Arabidopsis thaliana: one gene and its partner. The protein of the gene in region 1 interacts with the protein of each later gene in a pairwise test. Each region holds a gene or a part of one and is shown on either strand. Other genes may lie near its edges.

What was found.
Region 2: the proteins of PAPP2C (region 1) and AT3G26470 interact in a two-hybrid assay, tested with the Arabidopsis thaliana proteins (one study listed by BioGRID).

The regions. Positions count from the first base shown.
Region 1 is NC_003070.9:7,864,718-7,880,600, reverse strand, and holds PAPP2C (phytochrome-associated protein phosphatase type 2C), read right to left. Parts: upstream 6,735-15,883; 5' UTR 6,530-6,734; intron 6,448-6,529; 5' UTR 6,366-6,447; coding exon 6,330-6,365; intron 6,199-6,329; coding exon 5,941-6,198; intron 5,871-5,940; coding exon 5,594-5,870; coding exon of another isoform or gene 5,547-5,593; exon of another isoform or gene 5,501-5,546; coding exon 5,346-5,500; intron 5,243-5,345; coding exon 5,105-5,242; 3' UTR 4,770-5,104; downstream 1-4,769. Other genes in the region: GRF10 (general regulatory factor 10), read left to right, coding at 1-223, 431-518, 626-735, 817-965, 1,314-1,351, 1,450-1,455; AT1G22290 (14-3-3 family protein), read left to right, coding at 2,686-2,752, 2,830-3,148, 3,228-3,294, 3,402-3,478, 3,575-3,627, 3,704-3,771; ZYP1b (Myosin heavy chain-related protein), read right to left, coding at 8,535-8,636, 8,986-9,048, 9,115-9,198, 9,271-9,351, 9,468-9,539, 9,685-9,771, 9,840-9,950, 10,035-10,142 and 10 more; AT1G22270 (Trm112p-like protein), read right to left, coding at 14,679-15,053; ZYP1a (Myosin heavy chain-related protein), read left to right, coding at 15,459-15,603, 15,685-15,734. UniProt on the Arabidopsis thaliana protein: Involved in the regulation of phytochrome signaling. May regulate phytochrome-interacting factor 3 (PIF3) through the dephosphorylation of phytochrome.
Region 2 is NC_003074.8:9,678,980-9,694,915, forward strand, and holds AT3G26470 (Powdery mildew resistance protein, RPW8 domain-containing protein), read left to right. Parts: upstream 1-6,952; 5' UTR 6,953-7,164; coding exon 7,165-7,572; intron 7,573-7,663; coding exon 7,664-7,921; 3' UTR 7,922-8,293; coding exon of another isoform or gene 8,294-8,638; 3' UTR 8,639-8,663; downstream 8,664-15,936. Other genes in the region: AT3G26440 (transmembrane protein, putative (DUF707)), read left to right, coding at 37-157, 254-328, 435-470, 589-702; AT3G26445 (beta-1,4-N-acetylglucosaminyltransferase family protein), read right to left, coding at 1,141-1,464, 1,735-1,767; AT3G26450 (Polyketide cyclase/dehydrase and lipid transport superfamily protein), read right to left, coding at 2,614-2,882, 4,131-4,320; AT3G26460 (Polyketide cyclase/dehydrase and lipid transport superfamily protein), read right to left, coding at 5,074-5,342, 5,439-5,628; AT3G26480 (Transducin family protein / WD-40 repeat family protein), read right to left, coding at 8,294-8,638, 8,714-8,880, 8,963-9,092, 9,180-9,309, 9,390-9,466, 9,556-9,634, 9,720-9,889, 9,993-10,037 and 7 more.

The DNA of each region.
Region 1 (15,883 bases):
AGAATGTGATTGGTGCAAGGAGAGCATCATGGAGAATACTATCTTCCATTGAGCAGAAGGAAGAGTCCAAGGGAAATGATGAAAATGTCAAGAGGCTTAAGAATTATCGTAAGAGAGTTGAAGATGAGCTTGCTAAAGTTTGTAATGACATCTTGTCTGTCATTGATAAGCATCTCATTCCATCGTCTAACGCTGTGGAGTCAACTGTCTTTTTCTACAAAATGTGAGTGTCATCTTTATTATACTCTGACCATTCATGTGATATTTGTGTGACTAAGAATGAGATCATTTCCGTTTGACTAAAGTTAAATGTTTAAGTTATTACATAGCTACCACTCTTGCTTGTGTTCTTCCTGAAATGATGATGATTCATGAACTTTTCCTTGTTTCACTGTTTTGACTTTACGTGTTTTTTTTTCTTTCTATGTAGGAAAGGAGATTACTATCGCTATCTTGCGGAGTTCAGTTCTGGTGCTGAACGCAAGGAAGCTGCAGATCAGTCTCTTGAAGCATATAAGGTCCTTTGATCATGTTTATTTGTTTTCTTATTTTTGTGCCACCCCTCTTATATTTGAGCTGGGAATAACCTAAGACAAGTCTTGCTTTTTTCGTACTGGGAATGTAGGCTGCTGTTGCTGCTGCAGAGAATGGTTTGGCACCCACACATCCAGTTAGACTTGGCTTGGCGTTGAACTTTTCAGTTTTCTACTATGAGATCTTGAACTCTCCCGAAAGGTTTGTTTTTGTATTTTGGATTGAACATAATAGTGGAATCTGTGGTCATTTTCTGACACTATGAAACTATGTATTGTACAGCGCATGCCAATTGGCTAAGCAAGCATTCGATGATGCAATTGCTGAACTTGACAGCCTCAACGAGGAATCATACAAAGACAGCACTCTTATTATGCAGCTACTTAGAGACAATCTCACCTTGTGGACTTCAGACCTTAATGAGGAAGGAGGTATTCTTATTTTCTTTTGTTTCCCTATCTCATGATCAAATGGTTTCCTTAGAATCAAATGAGCTGTTAAGAGCGTTACCTTGGAGTAAAAATGTTGATGTTTGGGAACTCGTAACCATTAACCATCTGTCTATATTTGAATTAAACCGTCCTTTATGCATGTATTGCTATGTAGATCTTTCATTTTAGTTTTGAAAGCCTCAACAAAAAACATACCAATCTACCATCTCATAGTTATTGGATTCTAGCTAATCTTGTAAAAGTTATATGTTTGTAGCAGAAAACATTACTAGTTTCTTGTTTCTCTTCCAAAGCTTTTTCACTCACCTTTTTTTTTTCCCCTCTTAGATGAGAGAACCAAAGGTGCTGATGAGCCTCAAGATGAGGTATGAAAAGCCAGTTTTGTTATAAGTTAAGCTACTTACTGATTTTTCCATTTTGCATTGACAATTAGACCACTCATGGAATTACTGAATCATTGCAGAACTAAATCCTCTGTGAGAAGAGAAACGACTCTTGCTGCATCCTGAATCTTGAAGTGAAGACAGTAAGTGTCGTTGTTTGTTACTCGAATGTGTAATTTTTAATCTATGTCTTTCTTGATGGTGTTTTCCAGATTCTTGAACTTTTCACAACACAACACTGCGTTGCGTATCTTCAACCCTCTTATGATGTGGTTGAATTCTGTTTTACGCTTAGTTTGCTTCTTTTGTTGTTGAATTGAGCCAGCAGGCATGATTTGGGTTTTTGTTTATCAGAATATTAGGCGTATCATGGTCTCAAAATTAAAAACCAAAACAGACAAAGCTTTATTCGAAGTTTGTAATAACTAATAACTCCTTGCAAAAATCATGAAAGTCTGAATTCAAGAGGCTCTTAATAATTTGCATAAGTGATCCCAAACTTCACAACTTTTCAATTTGTGGATGTTTGCCCTCTTTGTGGCCAAGGAATCATCCTCAAGTGTGTTTCTCTACGGTGGTTTGGTCCGTAAGTGTGTGACATAATAATGGTTTGGTTCTCCCAACATGACCCTCAAAAAGGATCTCTATGCTCTAAATATGGGACTCTTGTAAGTTGTAATTGTAACCAAATGCTATCACAAACTCTCTAACTCGTACCAACACTCATTGTGTCTAATCCAATCGAGAGCCCTCAAAGTCTAAAACATGTTAATCAAACTGTGAACCAGTTAATCCTTATAGAATCAGATATCTTTTTGTCAACCATCTAAATAACATTTTTGTCACGAATTGACCACTTCCCTCGAGAGATTTTGTAGTGTTTTCTTTAATATTTTTATATGTCCAATGAATAATAATTTCATACATCTATCGAAAACTTCAATTTTGAGCTACAAATGATCAATTCAAGTATTCACTTGGCCCAACTTCTAAATTCTTTAGGTGAGTTGTTGCTAGCACAACAAATGCTACAACTGTCAAAAGCAAAGAGACAACACCTTCAAATATTAGGTTTGACTAATAAACAGAGGATCATGGTGACGATCTTTGCCAACTCTCACCAAATCAACCTGAAACCTTCAAAACAGATTTGATGCTATTGGATCCAGCGCCAATAGGACACTTGTCATTAGCTCATTTACTTTTCTATTCTTTAAAATGATGAGTGAAATCGAAAAGTCTTGAGCAAGAAATACAGATTACAGTTTCTTCTTCTCCAAGCATCTATTGTTTAAGAGAGAAAAAGAAGAAAAGCCATGGAGAATGAACAATCAACGCACGTTCACTTCGCGAGTCTCTCTTCGTCAAGCGAGCGCTACAATGGTACTTTTTTTCCAGAACAACTTCTTGAATCTTAACATGCCTTCACATTACTCAATACTCCAAATGTTTTGTTGCAGAAACATTTGAAGAGATAAAGAAAGCGATGAAGAAAAGTGTTCAGCTTAAAGCGGAGCTATCAGCAAAGGAGAGAAATCTTGTATCAGTGGGGTACAAGAATGTGATTAGCGCAAGGAGAGCTTCATTGGAAATACTATCATCCATTGTGCAAAAGGAAGAGTCAAAAGGAAATGAGGAAAATGTCAAGAAGCTTAAGAATTATCGAAACAAGGTTGAAGATGAGCTTGCCAAAATTTGTAATGACATCCTGTCCGTCATCAATAAGCAACTCATTCCATCGTCTACCACTGTGGACTCCTCTGTTCTTTTCTACAATATGTGAGCGAAAATGTGTTGTTGTGGTGCTTGAGGCGCAAAAGTGTTGCACTGTTTTGGCTATACTTTATGTTCTTTCCAGGCTGGCAGACTTCAGTTCTAATGCTGAAAGCAAGGAAGCTACTGATCAGTCTCTTGATGCATATAAGGTCCTTGGCTCATGTTTGTTTTTGTGCCTTGAGCTCGGAACAAAATAAACTGAACAATATGTTTTGTGTTTTGGTAATGGCAATGTTGGTTGTTGTTACTGCTGCAGAGACTGGTTTGGTACCAACAGTTCCAGCTATACATGACTTTGAATTGGACTTCTGTTTTCTTAAACTCTCCTGAAAGGTTCCTTTGCTTACATGCATACATATGATTATTTAATGAAATCGGTGTGGTGTTACTTACTAACAGTCTGAATCAGTGAAACTGTGTGTTGTACAGTGCATACCAATTGGCAAAGCAAGCGTTCGATGATGCAATTAATGAATTTGACAGTAAGTGATGAATCAAACAAGGACATGACTCTTATTATACAGCTACTCAGAGACAATCTCAACATGTGGACTTTAGACCTCACAGAAAGAGAGGAGGTAATCTTTTTATTTCCCTATCTGCCTCCTCTGATGATAGATAGATAGTTTCCTTTGGAATCAATATAAGCCATTTTTGTGAAATTTTGTTAGTTCTTGTACTGTTATGAGGAGCCTAAACTTTGATTCGAATGTTAATGCTTGGGAACATATTTACGGCTTTGTGGATCTTTCATTGCTTAAACGCCAAGTTGTTGAATTCAAGCAAATTTTGTTGCAAGAAACCAATTAGCATACTAGTTTCTTGTTCTCTTCCAAATCATACACTCAACTTTTTTTTTGTTTCCTCTTATCCAAAAGTGGTGATGAGCCCCAAGAAAAAGGTATGAAAAAGCCAGTTATGTCAAAATTTAAGCTACTTGAAGATTATATTTTTCATTTTGGCATTGCTAATGGAGTTACTATACCATTGCAGAACTGAATCTTGAATCCTATGCGAGAAAAGAAACGACTCTTGATGCATATCCTGAGTCAAGATGGGTTGGAATCTGTTTTACACTTAACTTGCTTCTCCTGTGTTGAAATTTCAGAATATAAGACACCATTTGGGGTTTTGTTTGTCGGAGTATACCTAAAGAATCATTGCTTGTCACCGACGTTTCTTCATTCTTTCTTTTTATAGCCAAATGAATACTATAATCCCATTGGAGCACTGAGGAAGAAAACTCGAGAATTGCTTGGTACATCTTCCTCTATAGCAGTTGCAAACAGTTCCACAAATAAAACACAATGAAAGTTTTTCAACGCCTAAGCTAAGTCTTTCAATAATGAAACCCTTTTCAGTGATAAATTTCTGCAACTATTTGCAACATCTCAATCTCTGAAAGACTTTGCTTAGAATTATAACAACAAAACACAACCAAATTGTAGTAAACTGATCCATCTTATTTTTAATCCTTCCAAGGATAATGACATTTACCAACAACAATGATAAGGATAACTTTTGCTTATTTTGTTTGGCAATGTAAATCTCTTACAAATAGCAAACACTTTGGTTAACATATATATATGCAAACCTAATCCAAAAGTACTTTCACATATTTGTAAAAACATCCTAATATTTATATCCCGATGATTAAATATAACAAATCAACCAATTATAATAACAAAACCCCCCATCACCCACCACAAAACTCCATTCCCCACTCCTTTTTTGTTCATTTTCTTATCGTCTTTAAAACACACAATTTACACAACGAACGCACATAAGCTATAGCAAGAAGCAGCTAATCACAAATTGAAACTTAGACCGGTCCTAAACCGAACCAGAATCATCAGAGTCGAATCCAGTGAAAACAAGCTTTTTTGTCCTGATGAATCTTTGATTGAAATTATTATATAAGGAACCCATCTCCCCGTAAGTATCCTTTCAGAGAGTTTGTCATCTGAATCGGACCACGACACAAGATATGTCGTCTTTACTCTCTCTTCTCAATGCTTCAGCTGTTAATTCCTTTGCCGCTTTCTGTGGATCTTTCACTCTTCTCGCTATCTCCATTGCCTCTTCATTTGTCATCACCTATTAACATGATCATTACAACAAAACAATCAGACAAAAATGGTCTCAAAACACTCATTTAACAAGAGATGAATAATATATACAGAGAACAAGCCATTATTACCTTCCAGATGCCATCACTAGCCAAGAGAAGAACATCTGTCTGGCTATCTACAGTAGCTTCTTTTATGTCAGGCTCTGAACTCAAGTGTGTCTTAAGTCCCTTATCTCCAAAAGCACGAGACACAGCTAATTGACCATTCACCCGAGGAACATCACCTGTTATTAAAACATCACAGCCACATCATCCTCCTTGTCAACAAAATCATTCTATCTTCATTAAACATTCAATACTCAAAATAAGTTCTTTACCTGGTAGATTGGATACAAATCCACCTCTATCTTCAATACTCGACCTTTCAGTACGAGGCTCATGATCTGTACTCATCTGCGTTATAGCGCCACCATGAGAAAGAACAGCTCGTGAATCACCAACATTAGCTATCCACAACTTTCTCCCATTAATCAATATAGCAGTCACAGCAGTAGAACCACCACGACCCAAGTCAGAACTATTCGATAGAATCGCTTGGTCCGTCTTCTCATAAGCTTTTGCAATAGACCTTCGAGGATCAACCCAAAACTCTCCCTGCATAAAAAAAACAATACACTTAAAGCTATGCACATGTTCATTAACCCAAGAACAGTAGAACAGTAACCTTTTTTTTTGTTTTTACCTCCTTAAGGATATTGGAGAAGAGACGTTTCTGCAAGTAAGCAGGGACACTATCACCCATATGACCATCATAAATAGCAAAAAGACCCAATTCATGGTCTTGGATGTTGATAAAGTTAGCAACATGATAATCTTCCATTGGATGGTTAGCTTTTCCTTTCACTAGACTAAAACCATACTTGATCATCCCTTCATCACTTCTTCCTTTACCTGATCGTGATGATGATTGTCCTCCCACAACCTAAAAACCCACACCAATAAGATCAATCAAAACACAAAGCTCTCAGATCTTTCACTTCTAAGACAAAATTATTTCATCTCATAACAAAAAAAAAGAAATTGTTATATAGCCAAAAATTCGATAATCATTACCTCAGAAGCGGAAGTGAAGCAACAAAATTTTCCCATTTTTTTTGAATCGAAGAAAATTTCTTCGATTTTTGCAACCTAATTGAAACTTGCGGAGATTTATTCAAATAAACAAAACAATCTGCAGAAAAAATAAATTCAGAAAGCGAAATTAAAATCTTCATTGAGCAGCTGGGAGATGATAAGAAAGAGGGGATTTTTACCTGGAAATTAAAAACCCTAATTTGGTTTTCAATTTTTTTTTGTTTGAGGTACTCTCAACGATAAATCTACAAAGTCTATGCGACGAAGTCTTCGCTCTCTTTTCGTTTATGTCTTTTTCCTACGCGAAATTATATATATATATATATATATTTTTATTCAGTTGAAAGAAAAATAAAAATTGAAAGCTATCTGTATTTTTTTAATATTGCATCAACGTCCTTCATATATATAAATATTTACTTTACGCCTCATATGAATGAATTTTAAATTGTGACTATAATAGATTTCGATTATTTAATTTGGGTAACAATAATTGCTTAACCTTTAAATTGTAGTTTTGTTTAGGTGATGAATTTGTAACATACATTTGCGTTGTATTAAAGTAAAATGAGGGTGTAGATATGACAATAGGAACTTTGGGATAAAAGTGAGAGGTTTTGGAATTTTGGGGGTGAAGGTTAAGATAAATTAGGGGAAGAAAAGGAGAGAGAGAAAGGGATGGAGCAAAAAGGAGTGATCTGGTCAAAGAAAATAAAAAAGCTGCCATTTAAAAATTTTAGTCTTGGCTATTTGGCATGTTGACTTCCTCTTCCTTTACATTTATGTCATCTCCTTAACAATCCCTATTTTATTTTTTTATATGCGTTTTTACTATTCAGACATGAAAAAATGTGCGAAACTATTTAGAAAATTCATATATATTTTATTCCTGATATACAAATATCCAGAAAAATAAAACACAATCCTTTGGTTTTTGATATTTATTAGGACGTATTCCGCAAGAGTTTTATTTAATATTACAAAATATAAAACATTTTTGCTTAGAGAGATTATTATGAGTAAGTAAAAAGTAAATGAATGTTTCGTTTTCACACAAATTAATGCATGAAATTAGCAGTTTCGTAGAAAAACATATCCATTTTGGATTTGATGGCATAACGATTGCGGTAATTTTTACATTTTCTTTATACAACTAAAAGTTCAAGAACAATTATGAAGTGCTTAATTGAGTAAAATATAAAATATCAGGTCTCTTCCCCATTACCAGAAATCTCAAAGTATCAACGAATGCGACAAGAAAGTGGAAAGGGTCAAAGGCTTCGACGCGTTTACTAGCCATCTTTTTGTTTCTCCATTTAATGTGATTCGCACACATTTCATGACTTTTTGACCCTTAATCTAGTTTATTTAATCAAACACACATCAATTTAGCTACCTTAGCTTCCTTATTTATACATACAATTTTGATTGCTAGCCTAAAACAAACGATTTGTTGCTTAAAATAATAAACTTGTTCGTCTAAACCTCCGTGATATGTTCCTCTAAATTAGGTTCATAGGCCCCTAGTCATGTACAGTAGAACATCATGTACTCATTTTCAATTGTGGGCCTTTTATGAGCCCATTTTCTTACTATGTAAAGTACTGGTACTGTATGTTAATGAGCCCAACAGCACAAGAATGTGAAACTAGATACAATGTATGAGTTTGTATATATATACAAATACTGATAGTTTTATTCTATGCTTATATGAATGGCTTCTGATCTACATGATTTGTACTGCTTTCCACTTTCTTCCTTGTGATTCTTCTCAGGTCTCAGAGAGCACTCCGCTTGGAATCAGTGTTCTGTGATGCCAATAATTCAACAGAAAACTGTTAACCTCAAGAGCAAATGAACCACTAATAACACCAACGTATACCAAATCTACAAATATAGAAACAGCTATAAAGATGACAAATAGATTTAACACTTTTGATTGATGCAAAGGTTTTATCAATGTTTTTTGAAGACAGCTACTGGATCAGAAACAGATTGCGGATTATTTCTCTTAACAACATTTACAAGTTTTTGAAACACTAGGATATAGTTATTCCACGTTATAAAAATGAGATAGTTGATGCAAGCAGCAAAATGTTTATGTAAATCGGTGAGCAAGCTTTCACAAATAGTATGTATCTGAAAGTGAGAGAGAGATAGGGAACTGACTTTGTGTGGTAGACTTCAATCAAATGCATAGGGATCATCAGCATATGGGTTGAGGGAACCTTCTGAAAACAAGTCTCCAATATTTGCAGAGTGAGGATGATCGGCCATTGCTGTTTCCTGCGCTTAAAAGACCAGAATAATATGCAGTTAAATCAGAAATGTTTTTAGAAACCTAGCATCATCCATAACTTCTTGGCCTGAAAACTTCTACATTATACTCGCATAGACATAAAGCTTGGTTAAGCAGCCCTAAGTCTGACCTCCTATTGTTCCATTATGTCTGTCAGTTAATCTATTTTACTATTAAGGAAGGTGTGACGAAATGAATATAAAACGTTTTGTGAAAATATGATTTTTCTCCTATCATCAAATCTACTTTTTTACTCTCTGCTTCAACACTAGTTGACTGATGTGAGGGTTTGTTCATTTCAAAGCATCAGTTAAAAGTAGTGTATTTGTATTTTACCTTCGCGATGATTGTGGGGGTCATCAATTTGGGTGTCAACCTAGTACTGCGTCTTTGTGGCTCCTGTTGCCAAACAATGTAAAGTTAGATATCTTGAATATGTCTATATAGCAGGATGGACAAGCTGACCTGAAACATTGTTGTCTGTCTTGTTTTTCTCCGTTTAGGTATCCTCCCATTATTCGTTTCAACCTCATACTCACGATGAGTTACCTGCCAAGTTGAACCACAAGCCAAACAATGAGGTTGATTTCAATGTAAAAATGCAAAGCTTCATATGTTTACCTTGCTATGATGCTTTGGATTTGTCGCTTCCTTCAATATATTTGACACAGATGTTACTTTTGCCTTTACAAAAGGAGATTCCTGCGTTTGATGATCCATGAGAAAGTGTTAATGTGTTGCCTTGACGAAGCGGAAACGAAAAGAAGAAGAAGATATTTATGATTCTCTGACTGTTCGTCATAATTTTCTGTCCTCACCGTTATATGCTCGCTTCTCTTATTACCACCAAGACGAGATTCTTTCACTTTGACCGACGAATGTGAATAGTCCTACAAGGTAATAAACACCATGTCAATCTCTTACCCTGTTTACGTTATGAAAATAAAGAAAGGAGAACTTGCATTGTCAACTGAATGTTGTATATCTTAAAGTGTATAGATAACGATTAAGGAAGAAAATGAAGTCCAATCTAACCTTGTTTGAGTTTACTTCTTGCTCCTCAGGTGGATTGTCACTCATCACCTTCCACTGTAACTGCACCAAAGCTCTTTGCCTCTCTTCCTGCAAGGTTAGCCCATAAGTTAAACTCATAAAGATTCATCTTATAATGGATCTTAAAAAGCACTTACTTTTTTCCTTTGAAGATCTAATTCTTCTTGCAGCTTCTTGCAGTCATCTTCATACTGACACTTGAATGCTTTCAACTGAGCATCATGCTCACTCTTCAGAGCTGTTATCCTCTGGATAAATATACAAAATATTCGAATACCAGAGGCTCCTTATTCTTTCATCTGTTTGAGCTATGAATTTATATCTGTGTGTACCTCTTTCAGTTCATTTTCAGCCTGAATCTGATTTTGTCTCAGTTCCTGGTCATACTTGGCTTTGAGATTGAGCTCCTTACTCTCGTGCTCCTCCCGAATATTGAGAATCTGGGGAACACGCAGCTTTTCTGAGTTAATATGCAAAGTAATTTTAACTTCCATGCTGTCAGAAATAAACTTCCAAACAGATAATGCATACAAGAAATACAAGAACGTTTCGGATTTGATTAATTCATTCAAAGCTCATTTGGTGATGGTCAGAACCATCAGATATTTTGGAATTTATTGATGCTATCAGACAATTGGAACAATGCATGAATGCAGTAACATGATAAGATGTGGTAGCTTTAGCTTAGAGATTCGCAAAGAAGCCTTGTCCAAAAAGTTCATAAATCATTTCCAACATACCCGAGAAGAATGTTCCTCTTGAATGGTTAGCAGTTGCCTCTTTGATTCTTCTTTGCAATCTGAGAGTCCTTTATCATATTTAGTGGACAGCTCTTTGATAATTTTTTCAACCTGGAGTTAGAACCACAATAAACATCATCAATTGTTCAGAAGACTAAAACGAAAGATACTGTAGTCATTATACCTTGTCCTTTTCAGAATTAATAATCTCATGCTTCTCTACATCATACTTCCTCCTGATCTCATTAATTGCCTAAAAACAACATAGAGAGATAAATTAATTGCTTTAGTGTCTTTGCATATTGCATTCAGATTCAGCTAAGGGCCTCACGATTCTTATTCTACTAAATATATGGAAACATTGCTACAGATATACCTGGTCATTCCTCTGTGATAATTCTTTTAAGTGCCTTGATAATTCCAACTGTTTACTTTCTAGCATCAGGTCATATTGCTTCTTTGCTTCTGCAAGCTTAGTTTCAGCAGTTGCGAGTAGCTCCTTGTCCTGCAGTAGGATTCATATTTGATGAGTACTAAAAAACCTTAAACCTATGTCCCAGAATTTACTTTGTAGACCTTAATGATTTGTTGGTTTATATTCTTCTCGTTCTCATTGCACTGGAGGATTAGATGCCCTTTCTCCTCTATAATGGTTTGGAGCTGGTTCACCTCTTTCGCCAATAAATCTGCCTGCAGCTGATGGCTCTCACTCTCTTTCTGCAAAGTCTCTAGTTCCCCAACTTGTCTTTGTGCATCTGCCTGCAGTTTCTCGTACTTATCTTTGCTTTCAATCTCTAATGATGAAAGCTTTATTGACAATTCTTTCTGCAATATATACAAGAAAAATATAGTATTACAAGAATGCATTAGATACAGTGCATAGGGATATAAAATTATTTTATACCTTCTTATCCTCTGATGTCCTTACACTTTCCAATAAAGTATCTATTTCCTCTTTCAACTTCGAAATCACTGATTCTGTTTCAGCATTCTTTAAAACCAGTCCTTTTGCTTCAAACTCCAATTTATCAATGGTCTGGCTTGCAGAGCAGCGTACCCCAGAAAGTTGAGATATTAAAGATTCCTTATCATTCTGGAGCTCAACTATTTTTTCACTTAGCTCATTGCCTGAAGATTCCAGAGCTTCTTTTTCGGCAGCTACTCTAAATAACTCGCCCTGGAGTTGATCAAACGATCTCTGAGCACGATCTGATGCAAGATCTCTGTCTTTTCGCAACAACATAAAGTGGGTATCATATAGGCCACTTAGTTTATCAAACTTTTCCTTGAAGGTCAGATTCTTTTTGTCTAATTCAGTCAGCTCAGCTATCAAATAGTGGACTAATTCATCTAGCTTCTTAACCTCCTGCTCTGAGCGGACAAGTTTTTCAAACAGTTCATCTGAACTCAACTGAACATTCGTCTTTTCTTTCTCCAACTTCTCCTGGATACTAACAAGGTGTATGACCTCGTCTTCTTTTGTTGTTAACTCAAGATGTAGCTTTTCCAGTTGGGAATTCAATTTTTCAATTTTGAGTTTTCTTTCAGCTGCGGTTGTTTCCAACTCTGTTATCACAGCATCTGCCACAGAAGAAGCACTCAGTAAGAAGATACAATTGTTTTATATCATGAAAGTCTTTCAGAAACATTGCTTTTTCCCATCTACTGCGTGGCCACATTTTCAAGCTCTTGAAATCATAGTCTAGAACAAGACTAATTCAACCATCATTTTTTTACTGCATGTGACCAATGGCATTGTAAATTTAAAACGAAGGAGAAATGTACCTTTCTTCTCAATGAGACTGGCAGTTCCGCACCGTTCAGTTTGATAGAACATTTCCTTGTGTTGTTTCTCGAGTTTGAGCTCCTCCAATTCCTTATCTCCTGCATTTTTAACTCAAAGATGTTACAAACTTGGATACCAATTGCGTTACAGGTCAAAACATAGAATAATGCAACAACTTACTGCTTGTGATTTCTTCTTTAGCAGCATCTAATCTTAAAGACATGTCTCGCATTTGCTGGTTTAAAGAGTTTATTGCTTCTGAACTAGTATTGAATTTGGTCTCAAAAAAACCTTTATCCTTCTCAGCTGCAGATGCAAGTTAGGAAACAGATAAAGCAACACAGCGTATATAAGATAATTCACAAAAATCAGATGGCTGTATGATCATTTACTCTTACCATCCTGAACTTGAGAAGCCAAATGCTGCAGAGTCTCAGTAAGTTGATCACACAGAGTCTTCGTTGAAGAGAACTTAGATTCCAGTCCTCTCCACAGCTTCTCATCTTCCTTTTGCCTAACTCTGAGCTTAGCATTCTCATTAAAAGCGCTCTGCAGTTTCTCCTCTAAGGCATAGACATGCTCCATTGACTTTTTCAGCTTACAATTCTACACCATTGGAAAAGCAAATTTCCTTTCAAATATGTCTATGCCATTACCTCAGACGAACAAACCAAGAGCTTGAACCTCCCAATCACAAATTATAGTTCCAATATAAACCTAGCAATATACGCAGATAATCCAAGCTATATTCATAAACATAAACCTAGCAATATACCTCACATGCACATCCATCGAATTTAAGTTCCTAAACACAAACAATGTATAAAGAAAACAGGATAGCTTCCAAATTACCGCCAGTTCGAGATCTGTTCTCATCGCAGCCTGATCCTTCACCAGTTTCTCTGTTCAACAAACGTGAAATTGTCGGTATCATCATAACAGTACGATTTGAGAGAGGCGGTGAAATAAAACAAGAGAAAAACCTGCTGTGAGTTTCAAATTCGAGAAACTTCCGGAGGAGACGGAATCCTGAGGCGGACGAGTGGAGAAGAAGTACGTCTTCGCCGATCCAGGCAACGATCGGAGTTGATCAAAGCTCTTCATCGCCGGAAACCCTAACTTCTGCATCTCTAGATCGGAGATCGAGAAAGTAAGCTACAAAAATGACGAATCAATCCCTCGCTCTTGGTCTCACACTCTCTCGCTCTCAATTTCTTGCGCGCGCTCTCGAAATTGTGTGAGCATAAAATCTGAAATAAAGTTATTTATACCGATGAAGGCGACTCATTCCCCCAACGGTATGCTGATGTCAGAGACTCAGAATATCGCAGGGGCCACTTGGCATGATCAACGGCTGCGATTGATTATCAACGAGCTACATTTCAATCTGACCCTGTTTCTTTTTTTTGGACGCCATTTCAATCATAAAAATGGGTTCGTGTATAATAAACTATAAAGTTGTACAGTTTGATAATAATCTTCACCTATGTAATGATAAATTCTGATTATAATTAATCTATACATATAATCTGATGAAAATATAGTAAATGTTGATTAATATTAATATAGCTCTTCTTGTTTATCAAATTTTGGTGTTTAAAAGAGTACAAGTATTAAACGAAACTTTCAAAAGTCACATAAACGAACTAACCATGGGACCAAAACTGCAGACGTGCATGTTAAACTTTGCAGTCGCAAGGCTAAGAATTGCAAACAATGAAGCCTAGAAAGCCTGAGGTAGATGCTAGGACATAGACTGAGAGGAAAAATCAATGTATTGTGGTTGAGACTGCTTATTAGTAGGTTCTAAAACGCAAGTACATGAACGATAGAGGACTTAGTTAAACTCTTTTGTGCAATGTATTTGATATATTGATCTAGTGAGGATCCATATCAGTCAAAAAGTAGTTTCTGTAAATCCAGATTGAAAGACTATCAACAAGAGTTTTATTCCTTGAATCAGTTCTGCCTGCATTCACGACATGAAAGCATCCAGCACACAGAAACCCAAGGCTTTGGATAGAATCATGAATCCATCATATTCAAAACTAGCATATATGGAGCCATAAGTCGAGCTTGCACTATATCAACCACATCTTTTGTAAGTAGTGAGATTTGACAAATTCAGATGCTAAGCTCAGTGCTTTATGAGCAAGAGGATCATGATCACCCATAAGCAGAAGGGTTAAGAGAGACCAACAATGCAATCCAAATTCACAAGATGCACCAATAATAAAGAACAGTGACCAACTACTTGAAACAATACTCAAAATCAGGGTATAAACTTTTTTGCAATCAGGCACCATTCTTTGATAAAACACAATTAAAGGATTCAAAACGACAACAATGGATGATTCAAATGGAATCATTCAATTGCATATCTCACTAAAAGGTTCACATCATCAGAAACATCATAGATTGAAACTTACAAGGAAAAATCTCACAATCAATTAAACCTCGTCTTCATGGAGAAGCATATTTGGGATTCCTTTATTAACCGGAAACTTCCGTCCAGTCTCAGGGCAAACAAGCGCGCCTTCCTCAAGGTGGAGCTCGAGCAACGCGTGGTGGAGTTTCTTAAGGAAGGGCTCATCTGATTTCAGCACCGCGGCGTCCGGAGATTCCTCCGGTAACTCAGCGTATCCCATGGAACGCGCACCTTCCACCAGAGCTTTCCACTCAATCTTCGCGAACATGTGCCTGATAAAATCGGGATTGAAATCGACTTCCTTCTCAATCACGTTCCCAGCTTCGATCCGTAGAGGAAATCCACTGGTGACTCCTTTGATGTTGCAGGAAAGCATGTTGTGCGTTATCAACCTCATCTCTAGTTTCTCTCTTGCTTAACCCTAAGAGGCAGAAGTGAAGAAGAAAGAAGACGAAGAAGAAGCTAATGCGGCCGAGGGTTTTTGTTTTTGTTTCACTGCGTTTGATTTTAATCTCAGCCGTTTATTGTGCCACGTGACTCCTACGATATTTTTTAGTAACCAAGTAAGATTCACGCTATTCTCTAGCGCGTGAAGCATATTTCAAAATTTTGCCGTTAGTCGAATTAATCGACTTCTCCGGTATAAAAGACCACCGACGTGTTTGGCGCTCAACTTTATTTCAGATTTTTTTCACACAATTCGAGAGCGCAAGCAAGAAATTGAGAGCGAGAGCGAGAGACGAAGAGAGCGATAGATCGATTTCGTCATCTTTTTCATTTCAATTTTATCTCCGATCTAGAGATGCAGAAGTTAGGGTTTCCGGCGATGAAGAGTTTGGATAAACCTCGATCGTTGTCTGGATCGGCGAATATGTACTCCTTCTCCAATCGTAAGCCTCCGGATTCCGTTTCCTCCGGAAGTTTCTCGAATTTGAAACTCACTGCAGGTTTTTCTCTTGTGCATTTCGTTCCGCTTCTCTAAATTCGACTGTTATGATGATTTCGACAATTTCACGGTTGTTTAACAGAGAAACTGGTGAAGGATCAGGCTGCGATGAGAACAGATCTCGAATTGGCGGTATTTTGGAAGCTATCTTGTTTTCTTCATACATTGTTTGTGTTTACGAACTTAAATTCGATGGATGTGCATGTGAGGTATATTGCTAGGGTTGCGTTTATGAAAGTAGTTTTGATCTGGAGGTTTGAGATCTTGTTTTGTTCTTCCGA
Region 2 (15,936 bases), on another chromosome or scaffold:
TCTTGATCCATTAAGTTTTGCACGGTTCCTTATCAGGTTTATAGAGATTATGGCTCCAGTTTTCTCTAGAGAGGCATGGCGTTGTGTGTGGCATATGATTCAGAATGACTTGGTTCACGGTTGGGGTCTTGACTTTGCGCTAAGAAAATGCGTCGAGGTTAACATACAAATACAACTTATTCACAAACGCGTATAATTTTACAAAACGTTTTCGAAACTAAGAAGAAACACTTTTTAATGATTCAATAAACAGCCTGCACATGAGAAGATTGGTGTTGTGGATTCTCAATGGATCATTCATCAAAAGATTCCTTCTTTAGGCAGCCAGGTTATTAAATGATCAAACTTTATCTTCCTATACTCAACTACATTATTTACTAGCTTCTTTGTTCATAGTTTTAACTATGAGATGATCTCTCAAATACATTGATCAGGGAACCGCGCAGGAAGGGAAAACCGCGTTCCAAGGGGTAAAACAACTCAACCGCGGCTATTGTCTTGTGTTATATACTTAGAAGGTTCTTGAACTTAGCGGGTTCTAGACCGAGTATATTGTTAATTACTGAATTATATACATGTTTTGATCAGGTAAGAGAGAGATGTAAACGGGAATGGACAATGTTTCAGAAAAGAATGACCCGATCAGAGCAGAAGTATCTGAAAGAAATTGCATCTGCCTCTTCAAACTCTACACGTACTTAAACCAAAAGAGTAGAGGAACTGAATAACAACCTTTAGTGTTCAGATAGCACTTTCAGTAAGAAAAAAAGAGAAATAGAATGTTGATATGATAAGCACATAAGCAAGCATACACACACAAGACACATTCTTTGAAAAGAGCAATATAGCTCTGTTCTAGAAACAGTTATACTGTAGTAACAAAACAGTTAATAAAGTTCTTAATAAACTCTTCATTTCTATAATATACAATTGTCAATACTAATCTGTGTTCATTTCAGATTGTGGCAAAATAATTTGAGAAATTGTAGTATGCTCTCATTACAATACATTATGTTTCTTGGTTCAAAGAAATGACCAAACCTCACTCTTATCATAATGAGTAATGACTATAAGCTTTCATCTTGAATATAAACTCGTTGATACGCCGTGCAATGCCATCCTGCATCAGCCAAGATATCATCAGATAGATAGTGGGTAATGAGCATAACGTGTTTTACCCATCTGAAACCTGTGCACGGAAGCTCTCCAGCTCTTGTTATCAAGAAGGAACTCAAACGAATAAAGACTGTTCTTGAGCCGTAGATGAGGGATCTGCGTAATCTCATTGCACCATCTCAAAAGGTTTACAGTATGTCTACTCGGGATCTCATCAACATCAGACATTATCAACAAATCAGCAAGGACAAATGTCGGAACAATCACTAACAAGAACACATAAGACTCCATATCTACACCACGTAGAACACAACAAAGCCTATAGATACTGAAAACTGTACCAGAATCCTACAAAAGTCCTAAAACCCTAAACAGAAGCTAGGAACTTGCTCTTGAATCGAGCTTAGCTTCTCAAAATTCGAGTGAAAGATTAAAACTTTAAAGAAGGGTACACGAAAACAAGCAGATCGGAGAATCAAACCCTGGCCGGATATATCATCCATCAGTCTTCTTAAAACACTAGTGAGTAGTGTCCGTCGTCTTCTTCCTTCAACAGTTCATCCACCACATTTCCGTAAACCAGATAATTTGGGCTTGACTTATATAAGGCCCATTAACCGCCAAGTCAAAGACTCCAACGACGATGACCATGGCTTCATGGGCTTGTTTATGCAATGAAAGATTGACATCAATCAGATAGCACAGGGCAAGACAACCGTTACAAAAAAAAAACTACGATTCAAACATGAACAAACTCATGAATCGCTGGTTGAGTTTTAATATATATATATGCTTAACAAATAAAAAATCAGGAAAATGAAAATTTGATGTAGATGTTCGATTACAAGTTTATTTCAATGGAACTTATTTATTACTTTTTCAAAAATAATACTTTGTCTTTTCTGTTATGTCTAGGACCTCCGTAATATACAATATTATTGACATGTATATCTGAATATATATTTATTTTTTTTGTTAATAAATATTTTATTGCATCATTTCAAACATATAATAATTTTATGAAGTAATAGTGAAACAACATATCTAACAAAATCCTAAAAGTTAAAATTTATTATATATACAAGAAAAAATTATATAAAATTAAACAGTTTGGATTCTCTTTCGATTTTAATCTTTGATCCAATTATCTTTTTTTATTTAATTATAGAGAATCTTAACATACAGCCTAAATCAAAAGATTTCAAAAAAATTAAATCATTTTTTTCAGTTTCAAATATTTTATAGGTGGAACGTATTTTTATACGAAATAAACGTAAATTTAAATAAAACGAAAACTTTAGTTACATATTTTCTTGTATACAAACATATATGATATCTCATATAATAATTTTATACATAATAATTTATTTCAATCATTTTATCCCGCACATTATACAGGTTCTTATCTAGTCTATTATATATAAATGAAAACAATTTAATAAATATATAGGATGATGGTGATGGTGGTTGTGATGATGGTGGTGGTTGTGATATTGATTAAGCTTTAAGGACGTGGTCCTCCATATCAATAACCATACTCTTGAGGAGTTGCATGTAGCTGCTTGGTTCGGGGAAATCATCGTTGCGCTTCTCCCATATCATAGTGATTTTGCAGACGCAATCTTCTTCAGAGTTGGGAATAAATTGGAAGTCAATCTCATACACCTTGAACTGCTCCATCACGTGACCTTCCAATCCTACAACCTTCACTATCTTATTGTCATCGTCTATCTCTCTCCTCTCCTTGAATACCTCCTCCTTTCCATCTTTACATACATGTAAATCATTATTTTTTTCTTTTTTTTTGTTAAAGCGTGTAAATTAAATTATTGTCATATTTATATAAGACTATCTACAATGGCTTATTGAAAAAATTTATTCAATAGTTGAATGCTTACAGTGGGGTATTGAATAAAGAAATGAATCATATGTAGATTAAATGGTGTTGAATCGATTCAACAATGTTGAATCTTTAAAAATGGACCCTTTATTACCACTTGTTATTAAATAATTGGAGACAGAAATTGTGGGGGAGAGTTAAATAAAGATAGGACATGTTCTTTTATTTGCTACTGAAATTTCTTATATTTTCTTTTCCTCTGAATTATTGGAGGTCAATTATCTTATAAAATATTTATTTGTTTTAAATTATTTTTACACTAAAATTCATCATTTTTTAAACTCTATAAATAGAGATTTGTTTCATTTGATTTGAACATAGAAAAAAATACATCTATTTTCACTAAAAAATTTTCATTAGCCGCTAAACTCGTATCTATATCTTTTTTTGCTTTTTCCAGTGAAATGGATCCCAATAATAACTCATTTAACCCCTAAAATTTCATTACTTATCCATTTAAAACATAAAAGAAAAGAAAAATAATGAAATAAAAATTTGTGGGGTAGGGTGTTGAATTTTATTAAACAAACCATTGTAGAGTATAAAATTTGAGTAGGTATTGAATTATTATGTGAAAGAGAGAGAAAATGATGTGGAAGGGAAAGAAGCTTATGTGGAGGGTGTTGAATGGAAAAACCATTGTTGATAGCCTAAGTAAATGATGCAATAAATTTCCAACATGTCAATAGTTAGACTTCTCAGGCCACCTCCATGGGCTAGGTTCTAAAGAAAATCTCACCTATTTAGAAAAAAGAAAAAGAGAGGAGAGAAACACATAAAAAGAAAAGATCTCAACAAGAAACTTGTAGAATTTGATGAGAAAAGGTATGGATACATGTCCTTCACTTAATGATAGATTTTTTGTTTAAAGTAAAATTTTAAATACATACCTAAATTGATTGACCATAAAAAAAAATACAGACCTAAATTATGTTTAAAATATTACTAAGAAATCCAAATTGGTATCTTAACACTGATGGAGATGGCCTCATAAGGATGAATATGCATGATATTATGATCACATATATATTTTTTTGCAAATTAATGTTGGGTATCAACCCATGCCCCATACTCAAAGTTTAGATAATTGTCTAATATATAAAGAAAGGTATACCTCCGAGTGTGTAGTTCCAAATCTTGATGCCTCCTTGAGTGTCCCATTCGCCATCGTGAACAGTAACACTTTGGATGTGGTGGCCGATAGTGTCAGGGAAGAGATAGTTCTCGTTCCTGTACCTCTTGAAGTGTTTCTCCACCGTTCCTTTTAACGGCACCTGCGTCACGTATGTTCCCGACGTCGCCATTTCTCTCTCTCTTTTTTAATTTTGTTTAAAAGCTTCCACTCGTGTTTCTTCTTTTGTTTTGTTTTGGTTGATGAAATAACACTTGTTGCCTTGGTTTATATAGAGAAGATGACGCTTAAGAATACTGTTTCTTTTAATCATGCTAGAAACTTCTCTTCTTCATTTTTCAACCTAAAGTATTTAGTGAGCATTAATTTTACAAATTATAAAATAAAATATTAGAGCATTACATTATTGGGTCATAGAAATTTATTTTCTTTATTTGATAAAATAATTCCGGACCACGTTATTAATGTGTACAGTTGGTCCATCATCCTTCTAGTTCAGAAAAATTAAGTTTTTTTTTTTTTTTGGTATGAATGTAAAATTATATTTTACCCCAAAAAACAGTTTTACAATAAATACGACATGAAAATAAAAGAATTTGAGAAGTTTTGTTATATATTACAAATATTTCAGTTCCCTTCAATTGGTAAGCTTTAGATCATCTTGAAACCGTAAAATTTAGTCTCCAAGTGTATCTTGAATGGAAAAGATGTCAACATCTAAAGGTATATGCTACAGAAAGTAACTCCACAAGACCCATTTTCTTATATATTGATTTAAGAAACCACATGGTACGTATATAGTATTCCGAAAGGAAACACACTTTATTATATATAATTGAAAATATAGCATTCCGAAAGGAAACACACTTTATTAGATATAATTGAAAACAACTTAATAAACATATAGGGATGATGGTGATGTTGATTAAGCTTTAAGGACGTGGTCCTCCATATCAATAACCATGCTCTTGAGGAGTTGCATGTAGCTGCTTGGTTCGGGGAAATCATCGTTGCGCTTCTCCCATATCATAGTGATTTTGCAGATGCAATCTTCTTCAGACTTGGGAATAAATTGGAAATCGATCTCATACACCTTGAGCTGCTCCATCACGTGACCTTCCAGTCCTACAACCTTCATTGTGTTATTCTCATCGTCCATCTCTCTCCTCTCCTTGAATTCCTCTTGCTTTCCATCTTTACATTCATGTGTACGTATCAGTCAAATTATATTTGGGTCATATTCATATGTAATGATGCAAATAATTTCCAACGTATAATAAAGGTATATACCTCCCAATGTGTAGTTCCAAATCTTGATGCTTCCGTGAGTGTCCCATTCGCCGTCGTGAACAGAAACACCTTGGATGTGGTGGCCAACAGCGTCAGGGAAGAGATGGTTCTCGTTCCTCCACCTCTGGAAGTGTTTCTCTGCTGTTCCTTTTAACGGTACCTCCGTCACGTATGTTCCCGACGTCGCCATTTCGCTCTCTCCCTCTCTTGTTTAAAAGTTTCCACTCGTGTTTTTGTTTTGGTTGCTGAAATAACACTTGTTGGTTTATATAGATCAGAAGCTGACGCTTTCAAATATGGTTTCTACCGTTTCTTTTAATCATTAAAATAAAATATAAGAGCATTAGTGGATCATAGAAATGTATTTTCTTGATTTGGTAAACGAATCCGCGACCACGTTATTAATGTGTATAGTTGGTCCATCATCCTTTACAAGATAATCAATCATACGCGAAACACACTAATCGTGAGGACAATTATCGCGTATATGTTTACTAAATTTTATCCAATCATTAATCGCAACTGCGACTTGTAGTCGGTACTGAATTGTGATGTTGTGTCATATTTGTATAGTGATTGATAAATATTAATATATAATCGTCGTGTCATAAGTAACCTGAATCCATAGATTTGATAGTGTGACTGTGCTTGCGTGTGGAAGTTATACTTATACATGAAAATATGTATAAATTAAAATCACATATTTTTATTAATTTAGAGATTTGAGGTAGAACGAAAAGATTAATTTATTTTTGCATTTTATGGATCGATATTAAAAGTTTTGAATGGTAAGTCAGATTTTTGGTAGTCCAAAATGTGTGACAGATAAACTGTTTTTAATTTTTAATAAGCAAAAAAATAAAAATCAGGCGGCTAACTGCATACAATTTTTGTTTTATTGCTTTTTTAGTAATAAAAGTAGATTAACTGCGTACAGTTCTTTCTCATACGTTAATGTGAGTGGTCCAACGGCAGTCCATAATTTTGTAATAAATAAAAAAAACAAAAGGTAAAATAAAATATTAACCTTTTATTCTATAAAAGCACAATTCTTTTTTTGTATTTTGTACCATCACACACACTACAAAAAATGTAAATATCTCTCTCATTTTTTTTTAACGTTGCTTTTTAAGCTTATTATCCAATATTCTGATATTGCCTTAAAGAGCAGGATTGAAAAATATATGATAAGTTTTCGTCGTTTTATAATTTGTTTATATTTAATAGTATACAACTGGTATTGTAATTCATTGACGTTAATTTTGCTTAAGTTTTTGAACTTTTTAGAATCTATAACAATATGGTCATGTTTATGTTTTTGCTTAAGTTTTAAAGAAAAAAAGTAAAAAATAAAAAGGAATCTATAAGATTTGCTTGTAACCACAAACTCAGCAGTAATATGTACATACACCAATCAAACGATTTAATATGATCATATTACGTCAGTGTATATGTCAGTAATTTGACTCTAAGAAACCTTAATTAAAAATTTGTAAACAAGACAATATGCCAAAATAAAATATACGTCTACCTTCTCATTAATTTCCTTGTTTCTTCTTCATTGAACTCTTGAACAAATATTATATGGAGATGTCACTTGTCACTTCGAGTTGCTAGGAAACTTCCACCGGTGAATTCCTCCTCTATACAGATTAATTAGTTCATATCCCCTTGTCTCTCAGCTCTCTATCTCCACACTTTTTCTCTTTAACATATCCTTTACTAAATGGCCGTCACTGATTATTTCGCCGGTGAGATAGCGACGGAGCTTTTGAAGCAGCTCTTTCTGATATCTGCGAGAGCAGGCCGGTACAAAAACACAGCCGACAACCTCAGCACCTTGATCGAGAACATTCAACCGACGATCAAAGAGATCCAGTACAGTGGAGTTGAGCTGCCTGCTCACCGCCAGGCTCAAATCCGTATACTCTTTGAGTCTCTAGAGAAGGGCAAGAAACTCATGGACAAATTCTTAACATGCAATCGTTGGAATATGATTCGACAGTTATATCTCATGAAGAAAATGGAGAAGCTAGAGAAGACCCTCTCTGATTTCTTTAGGGCTTCCATTTTGACACACATCCTTGCCGATCTTCATCTTCTCCGGGCCAATTCTGATGAACGTTCCCATGAGGTCTATCTATCTTTGTTTTCTTCTCTCTCCCTTGTGATTTCTTGTTCACCAAGTTTGAAGGCCATCTCTATAATACTCGTTTCTTTTGCAGCACGTCACATCAACCAAAGGGTGTGACTACGACGGACTTGGCTCAATTCAGTACCAGCACATCCAGCCTAACCTAGACATGGATATGCGGGTCACCATTTTGGAGGCTGAATTCCGCACCTTCTCCAACAACGTCATCAACAACATGCTTGCGATGAAGCGAGCGCAAGATGTCTTACTACGAGCCAACGGCTTTGACCCCGAGACCCTCCTACCGATGATGTCTCCTCCTGCAGCCTCCATGAATCCTCCTGCTTGACCACATACGACTTAGGATACTTGCAACCCACTCAACCTTGCGGACTACGATCTTTAAAACACAAATTGCTTTCGATTTATGTTTTTCAATTTGTTAAATTATGTTTCAGTCACAATTTTAAATATAATTTATCGTCCACTACTCTGTTTTAGCTTCTTCTTTTTCCATACGTTACAATTGACCTTACTTTTTTACGTATTAAAGAGAGAATTGGTTTATACACCTCAAATCAGCAGGTTCTACATGATGAATGAAGCCCTTTTAATATCAAAACAACCCTTTTAGTAGCTGAAGGAATCAGATTGTATCTCTAACAAAAAGGCTACCAACAAAATGATGTTATCCAAGTTGGGTTCCAAAATATGGGGTCTCTCAAGAGCTATGTCTTTCAGGTTGTCTATCTGCTCTCTCACACACCTCTTTCTGCATCCGGGAACTGAAGAACGAAGCGCACAAGTCGGGGAAAGGCGGGAAATTGAGTGTTGATCCACAAAACATTGTTTCCCAAGGTTTCTCTGACATCAATGCTTTCTTCCTAGATCTCTTCTTCTTTTTGCTTATTGCTGCAAGAAAAACTTCATAATCTATGGCGCTAGTCTCGAGTTTTTCATCGCTATAAGGATCAAATAGAACATATTCATGGCTCCTGTTTACATACGCGAGAAGCGGCTGAGACTTTTTACCATCTTCCACAAATGAAAGTGTTCCTCCTCTGGCCTGCAATAAACATTGTAATCAAGTCTCTTAACGGCAATGAGAGAACTTTGATTAATCCTTCCTTAGAGTATATACCTTCATTACAGTCCAAATAGCTACTGGTTTAGGGCCTGACCCATCAAACAAGAGGATAGCACCATCTTTCCCGCGGAATATCTGTTCGTTAGATTTTACCAACCTATCAGATTCTGGAAGCCATGTTAAAACTGCAAAGTATGGTGAGTCCACTTCAGTAGCAATGGCTGCAAATAAACAGGAAAAATGAAATATACTTAGACAACCAAAAAAATCAAGATTTCATGATCAAAAAGATAAATAATAAACCTTCTATGTATAATCTATATGACCATGATAAGCAGAACGTCATCAGATCCCAGACAGATAAGTGCGGTGTGGAACCATGGGATGCAGCAATAAGGAAGCCTCCTCCAGTGAATGAGAGTTCCATAATTGGCTGAAACATTTACATATCATTTAAGATTTCAACAATGACTGTAACTAATGAACATGGAATTGCTTTTGTGTGTTATACAAGTCTTACCGCATTTGCCTTTCCAACTACATACAGGAGTTCGTTCTTTAACGGGTGCCAGATCGTAATAACTGTTTTAGCCGCAAGAGCCAGACAAGAACCATCCCCGGAAAAAACAGCAGCTGTTATTGGCGTTCTCCTGAAAAATATTACATCAATTTCATTTGACATCACAACGACTAAGTAATGAGAGATGTTAAAAGGTTCCTAATCTTTTACTTATAAGAGCCAACTCCATGACAAATCCAGTTTGAGTCCTCAGGTGTCAGATTCTTGTCGCTACTGCAAACCCAAATCTTGACAGACATAAAGTCATATCAGTAACACAAAAGGTCAAACGATATTCCAAGGAAATGATCCATTTTTCACTACTCTGTAATCCTACCTTGAAGTCCCCAGCAGAAGATATACTAACAGCCATGGAACGGGCGGGGTTAAGGGCAATGGCTGTAATTGCAGCTTCCCTGTGAGAATACAGAAGGATCAAAAGTTACACTCACGATGAGAATCAAGGAGTTTAAAAGTTTATAAGAACATTGAAGTAAAAACCTGTGAGGTTGATTTATGACTGTCGATAAGCTGAAAGTTTTGCTGTCCGGTACAAATACCCAAAACTTGAGAGAAACTATGCCTTCACTGAAATTGCTTGCAGCAAATCTGGCCTCAGCTGTAGTCATTACTGAGCCATTCCGAGAGAGAGCAACCGCAGTCACGAGAACCTATTTTCCATAATTCTTCAAATTATTACAAAACAGAAAGAGAGCGGATCTTTTACTAGTAACAACTATGTCATCTTACAGAGAAGAAACAAAATGTACTAACCCGGACTTGATCATCATCGTCTGGATGATGATCGCAAATTTGAACCTGCATATGTTAGGTTTGTTAAATAGTAAAATCATACAACTATCAGATACAAAACTCAATAAGCCTTTTGGGAAGCTAACCTCTGAAATGTCATGGTCACTTAAAAGGTTGTAGAGTTGAACACGATGATTCGCTGTGCAGAAAGCAGCTATACCGGAAGAACGATCAATGGATACAGTTCTGGTGAGGCATATATCCCGCGTTTTGACGTAGCATATAAACCCGTGACGCTCTGGTGTCGGAGGCTATTACATAGTAAAGAACACAATATGCATGTGAAGTTAACTCCAACAGAAACGGTATACAATATGAGCATGCTTAAACCAACAATAACAAGGAAAAATTTCGGATGATAGTAAGAACGAACCTTGATTCCAGATATCGTTCTCAATATCTCCATGGAAGGCATTTTAAGAAGATGAATTTGATTATCTGCACAAATCACCTGAAAATTCTTGATCTTAGTAGAGTTAATGAAACACTTCATTTGCTTTCTACGGTTGTTGTAAACGGAAAAACTCTTACAGAAGAAAGAGTTGAATCTGAAGAGAAGATGAAATACAACAAGGGAGATCCAATCTTTGGCAAAAGTTGCTTCTTCCCTGTACCTAGCTCCCAAACAACAAAATCACCTGCCTTTACCCCTAAAAGAGTCACAAGCAAAGGAAATATAGCATAAGAACTCAATATATATATATATAAGAAACATGAATTCCTTATCAACACACAGAGATACAGTCACTATGATGAAAAAATAACTCAGACTCACCAGAATACAAAAGTGCTCCATCTGAAGAGAAATTAAGGACGGTTACTTCAGCGCTGTGCCAGTTGAAAGTAGTGCAAGATTCAGTATCATCTTCAGTTTTCACTGAAGTAAATTCTCCAATACCATTATCCTTCCAAATTAACACTCTTCCTGTTACATCACCGGCTGCTAATATTCTCTGATTGGGATGGAAAGCAAAAACAGTAATCAACTCTGTATGATGTAATGTCGTCTCCTTTGGCATGAGGTGCTCTGATGCCACATTCCATATATGTATACTGCAGTTATGACAGACGCCGAAAAACTCTCCAGAGGGACTTAAAACAATAGGTTTTGGTTCTTCCATCTGCACATTAACAAAAATGATTATAGAATCAAACATGAGGCTAATCGAAAAATGGTTAATCCACAAATCTGACCTCTTTCAAAGTGTCTCCACTATGAAGAGGGTCTTGAGTGAGATCATATCTCCGGATTTGTCCAAACAAATCTTTGGACACACTTGAATAGTCCTCAACCGAAACATAAGCAATCACGGAATGTGACACTTGAGCTGGAATCATCACCTACAAAGTCCCAACAGACACTTAGAAAAGGGCAATTGAAAGTTATCAAATTTTTGTTTATAAGCTGCAAAGTATGGAACTTTAACAGACCAGAGAGTGAATTGGAAGGTGGGTATCAAATATCTTCAAAAGCTTCGGCGCAGAGAACTCCCAAATCCGAATTTTCCCATCGAGCGACGAAGTCCAACAGTAACTGACGGTTTCGTCGGAAGACGGATCAACAATCACAGACGTCACAGGCGCTGTATGATCCTCGAGTGAAGTAATCTTAAAAACACACACACGCATACGCTAATGAGAGAAGAAGATTAGAGGGAAACCCTAAAAGGAAGGATGCTCGAGTCGAGAGATAAAACCTTTAAGCCAGTGGCGACGCTGTAAACAGAGACGGTGTTGGCTGTGCATAAAAGAAGCTTCTTTGCGTCTTTCGAAAACGCCGGAGCGGAAGTAATGTTGTTTCTTCCGCCGCGAATCATTTTCCTTCAACTCACGGAGATTCTGAGAAGACGCAAACATCTTACTCGGCGATTAAAAATTAGATTTTGCGACGTTTTTCCGACGAAATATTACAATGTACCCAGTTTTCGAGGAAATTATGTCTGTGACCAAATTGCGACTAGTACTTAGTACTATATGCTTGTACTTGTAGTTTCACTTTCTTCGTAACACCTGGCTCTGTGATGACTCCTCTCATTCTCTTCCTCCATGTTTGGGTTTCGCTTCTTGGACTAGGCCTTGACCTTGTTGGGCCTCGGCCTGTTTGTTTATTTTTTCTGTTTTATCTTTAATAAAATGAGACGGCAAGAAAATAACTTACATAATTTTTCAAGATCTTAAGTATTTTGTATTTTCTTAATTTATGTGAAAAACCCTGTGGATAAACAAAATATAATGTATAGTCCAATAATTGGAAATTTTGTAGTTAACAAACTCACTTCGTTTTAACAAAATATGGATGGATGATTCAGAGGCATAGTATGCGACATTAACTGTATTACAATGGTCGACAATGACTTTGATTTTTGAGGTCGTCCAATAAATACTAAAATGTATGGGTATGATTTTAGGTTGACCAATAAACTTCGATATCCATCGTTAATTCCATGAATGTTTTAAAAAACTGAAGTTGCTTCTATTATATATAAGTTAATCTATTTTATAATTTTATTTTATGACAGTTTAGCTATAATTTCTTTTCAAAAACATTTATGTTCTTAATTTATCAATCTATCACTTTCCTCGTCAACATATTACTTTTTTTATAAATCTTTTGCATATGACTAGCTTATCGGAAAATCGTTCATATAGATAGCGACATAACTAAAATAAAATTAGAAAGATGATATTGTTTTGATATAGTGTTTGTTTGTCTTGTTTCAAAAGACTATGCAATCAACTAGTTGTGCGTCTTGTGGATCTAACAGTTTTAAAAATGTTTAGGGTCAATAGTTTAATCAGACTTGGAACGGTAGTTTATACCTTTAGATACAATATTATCTAAGGTTAATTTATGTCATGGAAAAGTTATATATAGACAAAATGTTCAAAAAATTTAGGATTTATTGTGAAAAAACGAGAAATGGTAGATGATTCATATACATATCAACTTATTCCAAAGTAAAAAGTTTAAGAAATAAGAAAAATAAAAATTGTAGCGTAACAAACATTGACATATGGCTCGTTGGAAACAAACTAAATGTAATAATTATAGTTGTTCATCAAACTATTCGCATACAACCATCATGAACGATGACTAAAAATGGGAGACAAAGTGGGACTTTTGTAAATCCTACGTTTAATGAATTAGAATGTTGAATTATTTTTTCAGATTTTTATACATATGAATTGTTGCTTTCAGTGTTCTCTTAACCAATGAAAGTAAAGATGCTCAAAGGCTAAATATAAAGAAGATAAATTTCATTTCTCTTGATTATTCTCTTTAGGGTTTAAGATTACATCATGTTTCCTTTCATAGGCATTATAATCTTAGTGACACTAGGGTTTTCACTGACACATGTCAGGTCTCTATTGATCCTAGACAGTCAAAACAGTTTTGTAAAACCACTCCTTCTTTTCCAGCACAGCTCCTTGTTTTTGTCCTTTGATCCAATCTTGATGTACTTTTGGTTTTGTCTTCTTTTGCAGGAGATGACCGTTGGAGCTGAGAGTTGTTTAGGGTCTGCGCTTGGGCCTGTTGTTTATTGGGCTTGAGGTTTGCTGCATTCTCAATTTGGCCCAATCTCAGAACCTTCTTGATAATGTCATCTGAAGAATTTACCTTTACAGATTCCTCTGCTTCGTGTCCGATCACAGCTCTGATCTGGTTCTTCTCTTCACCAATCCGAGTTGTTGTCTCAACACAAGATGCATTCTCTCTAATAGCCCCCCGCAAACTCGGCGTAGGTGGAACATCGACGCCTAGTTTGTAACGAAGATCGCAGAACGGCTTGATGGGGAGAGATTTGGTGAAGATGTCCGCGATCTGTTGATGACCAGGTATGTGCTTCACAATCAGAGCTCCAAGTGCTACTCTCTCTCGAACATAATGATAGTGTAGCTGAAAGTGTTTACTTCTTTTGTGGAAAGCTGGATTCGCAGAGAGATACACGGAGGAGAGATTGTCGCAATAGATTTCTGGAGTGTCAAGTAGAGGAATGCCCAATTCCTTGAGAACAGATCCTAACCAGGTTACCTCCGAGGCAGTGTCAGACAGAGTTCGATATTCAGCTTCGGTTGAGCTTTTGGAGACTGAATCTTGCTTTTGTGAGGACCATGAGATGATATTTGTACCAAGGAAGGTACAGTAACCTCCAATGGATCTTCGTGAGTCTATGCAATTTCCATAATCACTATCACAGTAAGCTCTCAATCTGCAATATGTGTTCTTATTAAAGGAGATCCCCATTGTTATAGTTCCCTTGATGTACCTCAGAATTCGTTTGAGCAGATTGAAGTCAGACACTGTTGGAGCATGCATCTTCTGGCAAACAAAGTTAACAGCAAACTGTATATCAGGTCTTGTTAAGGTAAGATATTGAAGTTTACCTGCAAGACTTCTGAAATATGTTGGATTGTCAAAGATTTCATCTTGTGCAGGTATAGCAGTCAACTGAAGTGGCAGATGAGTAGGCATTGGAGCACAATCACTCATCACAGCCACAGCAAGAAGATCTTCTGCATACTTCTGTTGGGAGAGAAACATTCCTTCTGAATGAAACTGCACTTGAATCCCCAAAAAGTAATGTAGTCTTCCCATATCTTTCATTCTGAATTCAGTATTCAAGCTGTCTAATAGCTTTGACATCGCATCTGAACTGTTTCCTGTTATTATCATGTCATCAACGTAAAGCAGCAGCAGGATGATACTCTTGTTCTTGATGTATACAAACAAGGATGGATCCGGCTTGCTACATTCAAAGCCAAACTCAATCAGATAAGTGCTAAATTTATCAAACCAAGCACGTGGGAATTGTTTTAATCCGTAGATAGACTTATGCAAAAGACAGACATGATCTGGCTTTGATTTCTCTACAAAACCTGCAGGCTGCATCATGTACACTGTCTCTGTGAGATCACCATGGAGGAAGGCATTCTTCACATCCATCTGCTTTATGTCCCACTGCATGATGGTTGCTAGGTGAAGAACTGATCTAACTGTCGGAGTTCTCACCACTAGGCTATAAGTTTCCAGGTAATCAATGCCTTCTTCTTGATTAAATCCCTTTGCAACCAGTCTGGCTTTCAGCTTGTCAAGGGACCCATCAGCATTGAGTTTAGTTCTGAAAACCCACTTGCTGCCTAATACATGCATATTTGGTGTATAGGGCACCAAGGACCAGGTTTTAGCTTCAGAGCAATTGTCCATTTCTTCGTGCATTGCATCAGTCCAGCCTTCATCTTTTAAAGCAGCTGTCACTGTTTTAGGTTCCGGGTAAGATACTCTTTGAGTGTGTAAACCATACCTCGGATTTGGTTTTCTGATTCCATCTTTTAATCTTGTTGTCATAGGGTGGGTAGACTGAGATGGCTGAGCTGTTTGGACCTGAGATGACTCACTGTTGGAAGATGCACTCTGAGAAGATTGATTCTGAGTAGACTGTTCTGTAGTTGATGGCAGCGGTTGAATGATAGGAGAGTCTTCTGAGGTAGTGATTTGCTGAGTAGAAGAAGAAGAGCTGTTGCCTATAGGAACATGATCAAAGCCTGCCGTACACCCAGTACTCTCCTCTTCTCTCAACAAAACCCTACCAGAAGGTACTGAATTTTGATCATTGTGATCTTGATTTTCTGTTGAAGTACCAGTCTGATTCTGTTCTTGTACTGAGCAACCCTTTAACCAAGCAGACATCAATGGTGTAACATTTGCAGGTTGCAAGTGAATGTAAGCCATAGATGAAAAAGGAAAGAGTGACTCATCAAAGATGACATGACGGCTGATATACACACGCCCTGTGGTTGGAAGTAAGCATCTGTAGCCCTTATACTTGTCATTGTATCCTAGGAACACACACTTGAGTGATCTAGGGTCGAACTTTGTGGTTGCATAATCTCTTAGGGTAGGATA